Linked DNA regions of Drosophila melanogaster. The protein of the gene in region 1 purifies or fractionates together with the protein of each later gene. This does not show direct contact. Each region holds a gene or a part of one and is shown in the gene's direction. Other genes may lie near its edges.

What was found.
Region 2: the proteins of lbl (region 1) and CG10887 purify together in Drosophila melanogaster (affinity purification with mass spectrometry, with the first as the bait; one large-scale study listed by BioGRID). This does not show direct contact.

What each region holds. Positions count from the first base shown.
Region 1 is NT_033777.3:21,431,098-21,435,834, reverse strand, and holds the start of lbl (ladybird late), read left to right. Parts: upstream 1-1,701; 5' UTR 1,702-1,867; coding exon 1,868-2,570; intron 2,571-4,737.
Region 2 is NT_033777.3:20,112,923-20,117,679, forward strand, and holds CG10887 (uncharacterized protein), read left to right. Parts: upstream 1-1,915; 5' UTR 1,916-2,016; coding exon 2,017-2,056; intron 2,057-2,114; coding exon 2,115-2,154; intron 2,155-2,210; coding exon 2,211-4,161; 3' UTR 4,162-4,217; downstream 4,218-4,757.

The sequences.
Region 1 (4,737 bases):
GCAGTCGAAGGGATTGGAGAAGGGCCCTTATGCAAATTCAGCGTCATAAATTGCGATGTAGGGTTCGGGTAAAATACATCTAAACAACACCCTTTCAAGAGACTGAATAAACTGGATTTTATATTAACATACTGTGCTACTCATTTTGTCAGCTGGGTACCTGTGTACTTTTGCTGGATCAAGTTATTATTTTGTAATTTTATACGTTAAACATTAAAAGCTAATTTGCCCATACTATGTAGTGTAAAAGTCCAATTTGTTGTAAGCCCTTGATGAGCCCAATAATCATTGGTAATTGATGCTCCGCGCTTTAATAAACAGATACAAACACAAATTTGTTGAAATTGCCACTTCCCCTGATTTCTTTTCCCATCTCGAAATAATCAATTATACTCGTTTTCAAAGGGCAGTGTAGAACCCATTATCGATTACGGCTCGCCAGTTACATCATTTCACTTAGCCGACTCTTCAGTCACATTCCCACCGGCAAAGGGCGCAATGCAGTTAAATAGACATTTGCATGCAAAATTCAAGGAAAAGCGAGAAATAAAAAAGAAAACCAGGACAAACAGCGGAGCGAAATTGAATAAAAAACTGACACTGACAAACAAACGAAGCGAGGCGCATACAGGGCGCATACGTGATACAACGAGCGGACCAAAGTTGCAATCAATTTGGAAATGCATTGAGTTGAGCTGTGGAGTGGGAAGCGAGGGAAGTGGCAAGACAAACGAATGTGTGCCAGCAAAATGCACTTAAACAAATGGAAATATAAATGGGAAAATATAAAATAATATAATCATAAATTGTGTGTAGAGAAACTAACTAACTAACAAGATGCAGCTAGTTATTAGATCTAACAACGATCTCAAGTTAACAAGTAATAAATGTGAAGAGCAAAGTAACTGTCATGTTGTGCCATTTATAGGTTATTACTTTTGAGGTGCAGAATTCGTTCGCTTTTTAATTTATGTTGAGGAAGTTTGAGGGAGAAAGACATTTTTACATTACTATAATATTTTTCATAGGCACATCTATTTATGACAAATAAACCTCTTTCAAAAAGACGTTCTTGAACGAAGGATTGTCAGTTCGGGGAACTGTTTTTCCCAGTGCATCAGAGGTCTCGAAACACGGATTCGAAGAGGCTTGTTTTTCCAGTGGAAAATAGATGAGGAGTCGAAGCCAACGGTACAACGAGACATCATTATTGATGACAATTGAGTGGGCCAAAAGAGAGCTGCGAAAAAGCGGGTGAGCCAACAATTACGATAATTAACGCAGTCAGTCGCCTGGAAAGCGACGGGAAAGAGAGGGAAATAGTGCCGCCCCAGAGAGAGAGCGAGAATGAGAGAGAGAGAGAGAGGGAGGAAAGAGAGCGCATGTCAAATTGTACAAATTAATGACGTTCGCACGTTGACAGCGACTTTTGGTCGGGTGAGGGGGTCTGTATGGCCCTCGACCAACTGCTATTGGTCCTCTGGTTAGCTCTCCCTCTCTCCATCTCTCTCTTTTCTGCTGGCACGCCCCCTTGGCGAGAGCGAGGCGGCGTTTCCAATTAGACAAGCTGCGCAGCTGCGCGAGTCCGTGACGTCATGGGTGCCAACCAGTTTGGAGGCCCCAAAAAGCAGTTGAGAGAGCTTGGCCAAGAAAGAGAGACAGAGAGCCGAGCAGCATTAGCATCGCATTCTGGCCACGAGCCATTTTCGTTGTTGGTGTTTGTGTTGCACGTTGTGCCGACGTTTTTCGTGTGACAGCCGCGCGTTTTGCCGACGCGTTTTTAATCGCCCGTAGAAAAGAGTTTGGAGCTAAGCCGTAAGGATACAGCCAGGATGTGCTGAGTGGCCAAAGGAAAATACACCTAGAGATGCCGCAAAGAACTCCCAGTCCCGCTAACTCTGATGTTTCGGTGGGTTCGCCCAGTCCACCGCCTCTGAGATCGTTGAATATGAAACGATTGCGGCTTTTGAGGAGTCCTATTAGCCTGGAACATGACCGCCAAAAGTCATCACCCGTCAGGGTCAAGAGCTTTTCCATTGCCGATATCCTGGGGCGAGGGCATGAAGAGGATCGTGTGGAGAAGAAGCCGGAGAGAATTGCCATTCCCAATGCTTTACCAGGAGTACCTGCTCCATTGGCTCTGATCAACGAAAGATTGCAAATACCCTTGGTGCCGAATTGCCCTCCGCCGGCTGCACTACATACATTTTTATCGCCCGCTTTGCTCCACAGCTATGAGCAGCGACTGGCCTGGGACTACCAGCGCCAGCTCCAGGAGCACTTCCAGGCACAGGCGCAACTCCTCCGGCAGATGACCCTGAATCCCGCGATCATTGCCTCCGAGGACGGCAGTTCAGAGCGTTCCCAGCGATCAAGCAGCAGCAATGGCAGCACCGAATGCTGCAGTCCCACCCAGGCGGAAAAAGTGGAAAAACGTTCCCAAGAGGACAGAATGGAGGTTCCTAAGAAGTCGCCCGAGGAACAACCAAAGGGGGCCAGCAAATCAAGTGGAGACACTCCCTTGGATGCCCTCTTCCAGCTGTCCACCAAAAACTTTGACGAAGAGCAGGGTGAGTAGTTTTCAAGAGAAAATATATTCCTCTAAATCCAAACAGAAGAAGACTTTGCTTTTAAACTGCGGAACCCAGTGGACAACCAAAAATCATATTCTTCATATTTACTATATGTAAAAAAGTACAAACAAAATTATAGTGCAGAGATAATAGATATTTCATCAGCTTTTTCTCAAGTTTTATCAACACCCCTGAGTATATGAGCTTTTTGTTATATATGATTGGAATATCTTCAACATAAAAATATCCACAAACTGTAGAATTACTTACTCCGCGTTCACCTCTGTGTGCACAACCGCAATCAAATTACATTTTAATATAAACTGATTTCCCAACGAGACCCATCATAACCATTAGCCTGGCCAGCGATTGATCAATTGTTGTCATTACGTCTTGATGAGATTCTGCTTAAGGCGTAAAAACAGTAGTGAGGTCAGCCTGCTCGTCCGAGGTGGCTAAATCAATTTCAGGCCAGCCGGCTGGCAGCTCGCTCGGCATCGCCTTTGATGGCAATTGCCTTTCCCAGACCCAGACCCAGTCCCAGTCCCATACCCATACCCAGATCCACTCGAAGGCCCCAGCCCGGTCATATGATGATGCTCTAGCTGCGGCGAGCTGCTGCTCCAACTCGAACTCAGACTCCAGCTGATGGCTGATGTCTGATGGCTTTGGCGCATGCGTATCGTTCGGCATAATTTGCTTAGCGGCGTTGATTTCTCGTTAAGTCGCAGACGCAAACCGATTTATCCCACACTCGGAATAAAAACAGAAACTGCCGGGAGTCACTGGGAAAACTATTCCTCATAATATCTTCGTTTGGAAAACACATCACCTTGATACAAATTATTGTACAAACAACTAACTAAGAGTATTTAAAAATATCCTGAACGGAACATTTCTTTATTTATTATATCTGCAAATCAATTTCCATCATTTTTCGGTGTAAAACAATATTGGCCATGAATGTCTATTAAAATATCTTCCCACAGCGGCTGTCATATTTTTTCCGAGTGCACTGACCAGCAATCCATCAGCGAACCCATGGTCTGCGCTTTTGTTCATCAGCTACTGAAATTGAATTTACGCGCCGCACGTACATCAGCCAATTGGTTCGTGCTCCACTCTAGATTGCCGCATTGCCGGATTGCTGAGCTGTTGGGTTGTTCGGTTGCCACAGAGCCATCTAATCAGCACCAGCTGATTTGATCGGTTGATCAACTGCTACTGGCATTGAGTGCCGCCCGGGATGATTATGATTATCGCCGAGCTGCACTTAAGCGCCGCAGTTTGCGAAAATTGTATTGCTTTTTCCCAAGACAGCATCCGGTGTGGAAGTGGAAGAGAAGACGCGAGGTTGGCCATGGACTGAACCCTTTCTACGGCTGCCTCCTGCAATTTGCCCGGCTGATCAAAAGCCGTAACCGGCCAGTTGAGGGAAAGATCTGAGACACTTCCGCCTGGTAATTAGGAGCAGCGACAACTCCCATTGCAACGCCATCGTAGCCCCACTTGGGGCTTGGGCCTGCTCACCGCTCATGACGATTGCCGGCAGATAAGCCATAAAGAGGCCCAGGCAGCACATACAAAATAATTACAATGAAAATGGCTGAAAAGTTGCAGCTATTTGAACAATGGACCTGTCGTTAGGTCTTGTCAATTACGCGTAGATACCTGCCACATTACGTCACCGAAGAATGGGTACCCTTTAACACGTTTCAGCAGAGTCGAATGTTGCCAGAAGGGTTTCTTTCTTTTAGATCGTAGAACGGTTTCCTTACATTTTCTCAGTTAGTATGTAGAATTTCTATGGTTCCGCCAATTGAAAATGGAAAGTGGATAATTACTGGGGGAACTACCCTCTTACAGGGTATACCGGCAAACGGATGGCGACTTGGGCACAAAGAAAGCCCGGTCGTGGGGCGATCAGCACGGTCGGTGGCTGCCGCTGAAATGTGGGCTTGATGAAACGCCAAGACAATTGGCACAGACAGCCGCGTTATTGAACGCACAAACGGCACAGAGCGGCGGATGCATCCCTAATTACAATTTAATTACTAAAACTTTTCCCACTTGACAAAAAGGCGGCGGCCATGGCAGTTGAGGACCAGAACACCAGAAGACCCAAAGACTGCGACGCAGCCGAGCATGAACCACAAACGCACCG
Region 2 (4,757 bases), 1.3 Mb from region 1:
GTTTACCATTTAAACAGGGTTCACAAATTTCACATGATAACTCTAAGTTGTTTAGAAGACTTTGATCACTAAACATATTCTTTCGTTTTATTTCTAATAATTTGCCATCGCTTATATGGCCAAACCTCTCATGCCATAAACGAAAATTATTTTTATGCTTAGCATTTATAGAATATGCTTGAAAATTGATCACAGGTACATTGTTTAACATACCTGAATTTTTGACAACCATTAACCCATTTTTCGAAATGGTTACACCGCTTTTGTCAAATTCGATCGACATTCCTGCCTCTTGGAGACGCTTTACGGACATCAAATTACCAGCAGCTTCCTTACAAAAGAGTACATCCTCCAGTGTAATCTCATGGTCATTCCGTAGTCGGACAATACCACGCTTAGTGGCATAAATAAATTCGCCTTGCTTGGCCACTGCAATCTTAAGTGGAGGCACAACCTCCACACTGTCGGTATACAGCGACTCATCATTTATAAGATGGTCACTAGCACCAGAATCAAGGACAAACCCGCAGTTGTCCATCACTGAAGTATTATTCACTTCTTTTACCATAAACGCAATGCCGTGTGATGTTGCAGTTTGAACTTGTTTTTCATTTTCTTTATTTTTATTATTTAATATTCTTTTATAATGGAAACAATCTTTTTTAATGTGGCCTTCTCTGCCACAGTGGTGACACTTGACTTTATACTTTGAATTTCCCTTGAATATTTTCTTTGGTTTAGTTACCCGATTTTTAAACAAATTATTTTTATAAGTGTTATTATTGTTGTGCACGATCGCGTTCATAACTTTCTTGCTTGTATCGTTGTGGTCATTTTTAATTTTAATTTCTTGATCCAGCAATCTATTTTTCACAAACGCCAATGTCAAATTTTCTTCAGATAATGTCTCTATCGCTGTAATAATTCCATCGTAACACGAAGGCAATGTGATCAGTAGATGAGAAATTTTATCCATCTCTTCTATTTTTGCACCAGCTGCCAACAATTCACTTATAAGTTCGTCAAAAATATGAAAATGGCTTAATAGTGACATCTCACTTGATAGCTTCAGAGAAAGCAAACGTTTTCGCAGCGCCAGTTGCGACGCCAAACTTTTTCGTTCATAAACGGCGTCCAAATTCTCAAGAATCTGACGCGCCGTAATGTCGCTTGTTGCGAAATTTAAAAACGAGTCGCTTAGGTACTCTATTATTGTACTTTTTGCACAACGCTCTGCCTTTTTCCAGGAGTCATCTACCTCGTTAGGCATTAAACCATCAACTACTTTAAGCACATCTTGCTCGGCTAAAAGAGCCCTAATTCTAAATTTCCAAATCGCGTACTTCTCGCCATCAAACGGCTTAATATTACGTTTAGCCTTGTCCATTTTTCACTCAAATTCTGAGAAGGAAATAATTTCACAAGAATGTGAAAAAAAAAGCTATTTCACAAGAATGTGAAAAAATGCTATTTCACAATTTATTTTCACAATCTTTAATTCACAATTTAATTGTTTATTAGGCATGGACTGGGCCCATAACCTGTTGTAATTTATAATTTATATTTCCTTTCTTAATAAATAAATAAATAGTCAAGTTTATGTTTGAGTTTTATGATTTATATTTTAAGTTATTTCAACTGCAACACCAGCACCACGACCTACTCACAGCAAAAAACGTACAAGAAGGAAAGAAGGAATAAAAAGAGTGGTATTCTCTTACAATATGTTTTATGGCATAAAAGGTGTGGCCATTCATATCAAATATAAAGTAGTGTTGTTTAACGTTATTTTTGTAGGTTGAATAGTATATTCCAACAGTTTTAAACCAATTAAAACAGTAGGGGAACAACACTGATTGTTAGAAAAGCTGACAACTCTTGCCCAGACAACTCTGTCAAACAATCGATAAATCAGTCACTTGGCTCGGCTGTCATTACGTAAAAAACCATATAGTTTTTTTTCTGTGCTGCTTGTGAAGAAATTGTGTTCCACTAACTCTTCGCCTTACGCTAAAAATGGCTGACCCCAATTTGCACGACAATCAAGTAATAAAAGGTTTGTAGTCTATAGAATATTAATAAAAATTGAATTATTATCTACGCTTTTACTTTAGATGGTGAATCTTCCGAAAGCTGGCCTGCATTCAATAGGAGGTTGGTTTAGGTACATATATTCTGCAGAACTTAGTAATCCCATATGGCTTTTCCAGGAGCCCGAATCCCTCTTTCTCCAGCGTTGATCAACAAGGAAATAAAACTAAGGCACGAAGGCAGCACCAAAGCCGTTCACATTCTTTTCACTCAACAGCAAATAGTGTTCCTGAATCGCAGGGACCTCTTGAATCTCGATCTGATCTGAACGCCAAGACATCATCGAAAAGCGAACGACCATATATTTCCACATCCAATTCAAGCTGGACCTCTGAATCCAGCTCCGGAAGTCCACCAGATTCAGGAGAATCGTCTTCGTTTTCGACTTCATCTTCGCTTTCATCATCATTATTATGTGCTCCAGAACCGAAATCTATTAACTGGAGCAACCCGAAATCTTCTTCAAATATCTCAAATGAAACCACAACTTCTGCGGGACAGGTTGGCGGCATTCCGAGCTTTTCAGAAAGTGATGACCAGGGAAGTGTCGACTCTGAAACAGTCTCTAACATCAGAAAATCAACTTCCCTCATAGAACTTAAAGACAATTTCAATACAATCATTGACGAAGATAATAATCAACAGCTCTCTAACGAGGGCAACATATTGTCCCCTGGGACAGTTTCTATTTCCAATTTTCCAAGCTCGAATGAAGTAGCAAATGGATTGATTGATGAGATGGAACAAGACCTACTCTCGAAGCAACATTCTACATCGACCCCAATAAATAAAAGTAATACAATGGAAAAAGAATTGCTCCCATTGCAATGTTCTTCATTTCCACCGACATCATCCGAAGGTAATATTTTAAAACCCAGGGTCAATCCTGTGCCATTAGGTCCCAGCTCAAATACAGAGTATGAATCAAATGGAAAAAATTACAACATTGAAAAAAGGTTGTCCCAATTGCGATATAGTTCAGATGAAAAGGAATCCGATGTCTTGTCGTATGCCTCTTCTGATAGTCTCGATTTAAATTTCGATTACGGTGATAATGCAAAGAATCAAAATGGAAATGGAATGAATGGAGAGGTAAATGGTGATAAGGAGTCGCAAGTTCTTGATATAGAAGAACAACGCAAACCTTTTGAAAAAGATGTAGCAGTTAAGTTCCAGACCACCATAACAACCCAAAATTGTGGACTTCTAAAAGGTCCATCGCAGTTTCTGAAGATGCCTTATTTCATACCCGTGGAATCCAAGGCATACGTGCCTGAAACCTTTCAGGATCGCATGACTAAGAATGATTTGAAGGACGAACAGTCACGCGAGGATTTCATAAATCGTCTAAAGGCAACTGTTAGGTGGCGCGAGAACGAAAACAAAACCAAGGAGTCCAATGCGAAAATTGTTCGTTGGTCCGATGGCAGCGAAACCTTTCATGTGGGCAACGAGGTTTTCGATATGATGCATCACCCGGTGACCGTTAACCAGAACCATTTGTATGTTCGCCTGGGCAGCTTCTACCAGCCTCAGGGTTTGATCCAGAATAAGTTGACTGTGCGTCCCATGCTGGACTCCAATTTCGGACAGAGTCATGTCCAGGCCTTGCGTAATCGAGCCACGAATAAGCCACAGTCTGGGTGCGTTAAGGTGATAACGAACATGGGCTCCAATCCCGAGCACGATCATGATCGGCGCATGAAGGAGGAATTGTCCAAGCTTCGCCAGGAGGGTCGTGAAAAGAATCGCGCGCTTATGAAGAATCATCCTCCGAAACGTGACAGGCACTATCAAGGCTCCGATCACAATGTGGCCAAAAACGCAGGGGCATTCGAAGAGGACGACGGTGAGGGTGCAGATTGCGAGACAAGCTCTGCATTGGAGGTTACGAATGAACCAATGCGCAGCGAGGAAGATACCGAAGATCATATGGACGATGATGCTTCTTGGAGCTCACCCAATTCCCAGGAGGAAGGAAAGCAATCGAGTTCCGAAGACGATCTCCCGATCGGAGGTGCTATCCGCAAGCCCACGCGTTTGGTCTATTCCGGATCAGATTCCGACTAAATATTAAATAGCCGCTAGATACGAAATCTCAATAAACATGTCATTAGCCAGCACGCAACAAAGCGTAGAGCCAGGAGTAGCTGCAACTGATATTTAATTAACAATTTCTCGCGCCCACAGTGGGTGTACGGCCATTGCCTTAATTAGGGGGCGTGGCAGCTGAGGCAGGCAGACATTGGTAGTCGGCGCAGAAATTGCTAAAGGTCACAATGGGGTCGTGATTGCAGCGCGGAGCACTCTAACCCAAATGCCATTGTCCGACTGCCAAACTGGCCGGCATACCAACGCCCAAAGCAATTAATGGTAGGTGCATTGGATTGCTGCCTGGTGTTTTTGGGAGATTGGACTCGTGACTCGGTGGGTCGTATGTGGGTTTTGGGGGCGGCAAGTGGGTGGCTTTCTGGTCAGCGGCTCAGTCGGACTTTGCTCTTTGATTCCAGCTTTATATTTGTCACCGCCATCTCAGGTAGCCGAAATAAGATACATACATACTTAGCTTGTTAAAAATTTGAAATTAATAAGTACTTTATTTGTTAGCAAAAGGCGTTATCCTGAAAATAGTTATACATTTGGTTGTTAACTATGATTATTTTGTC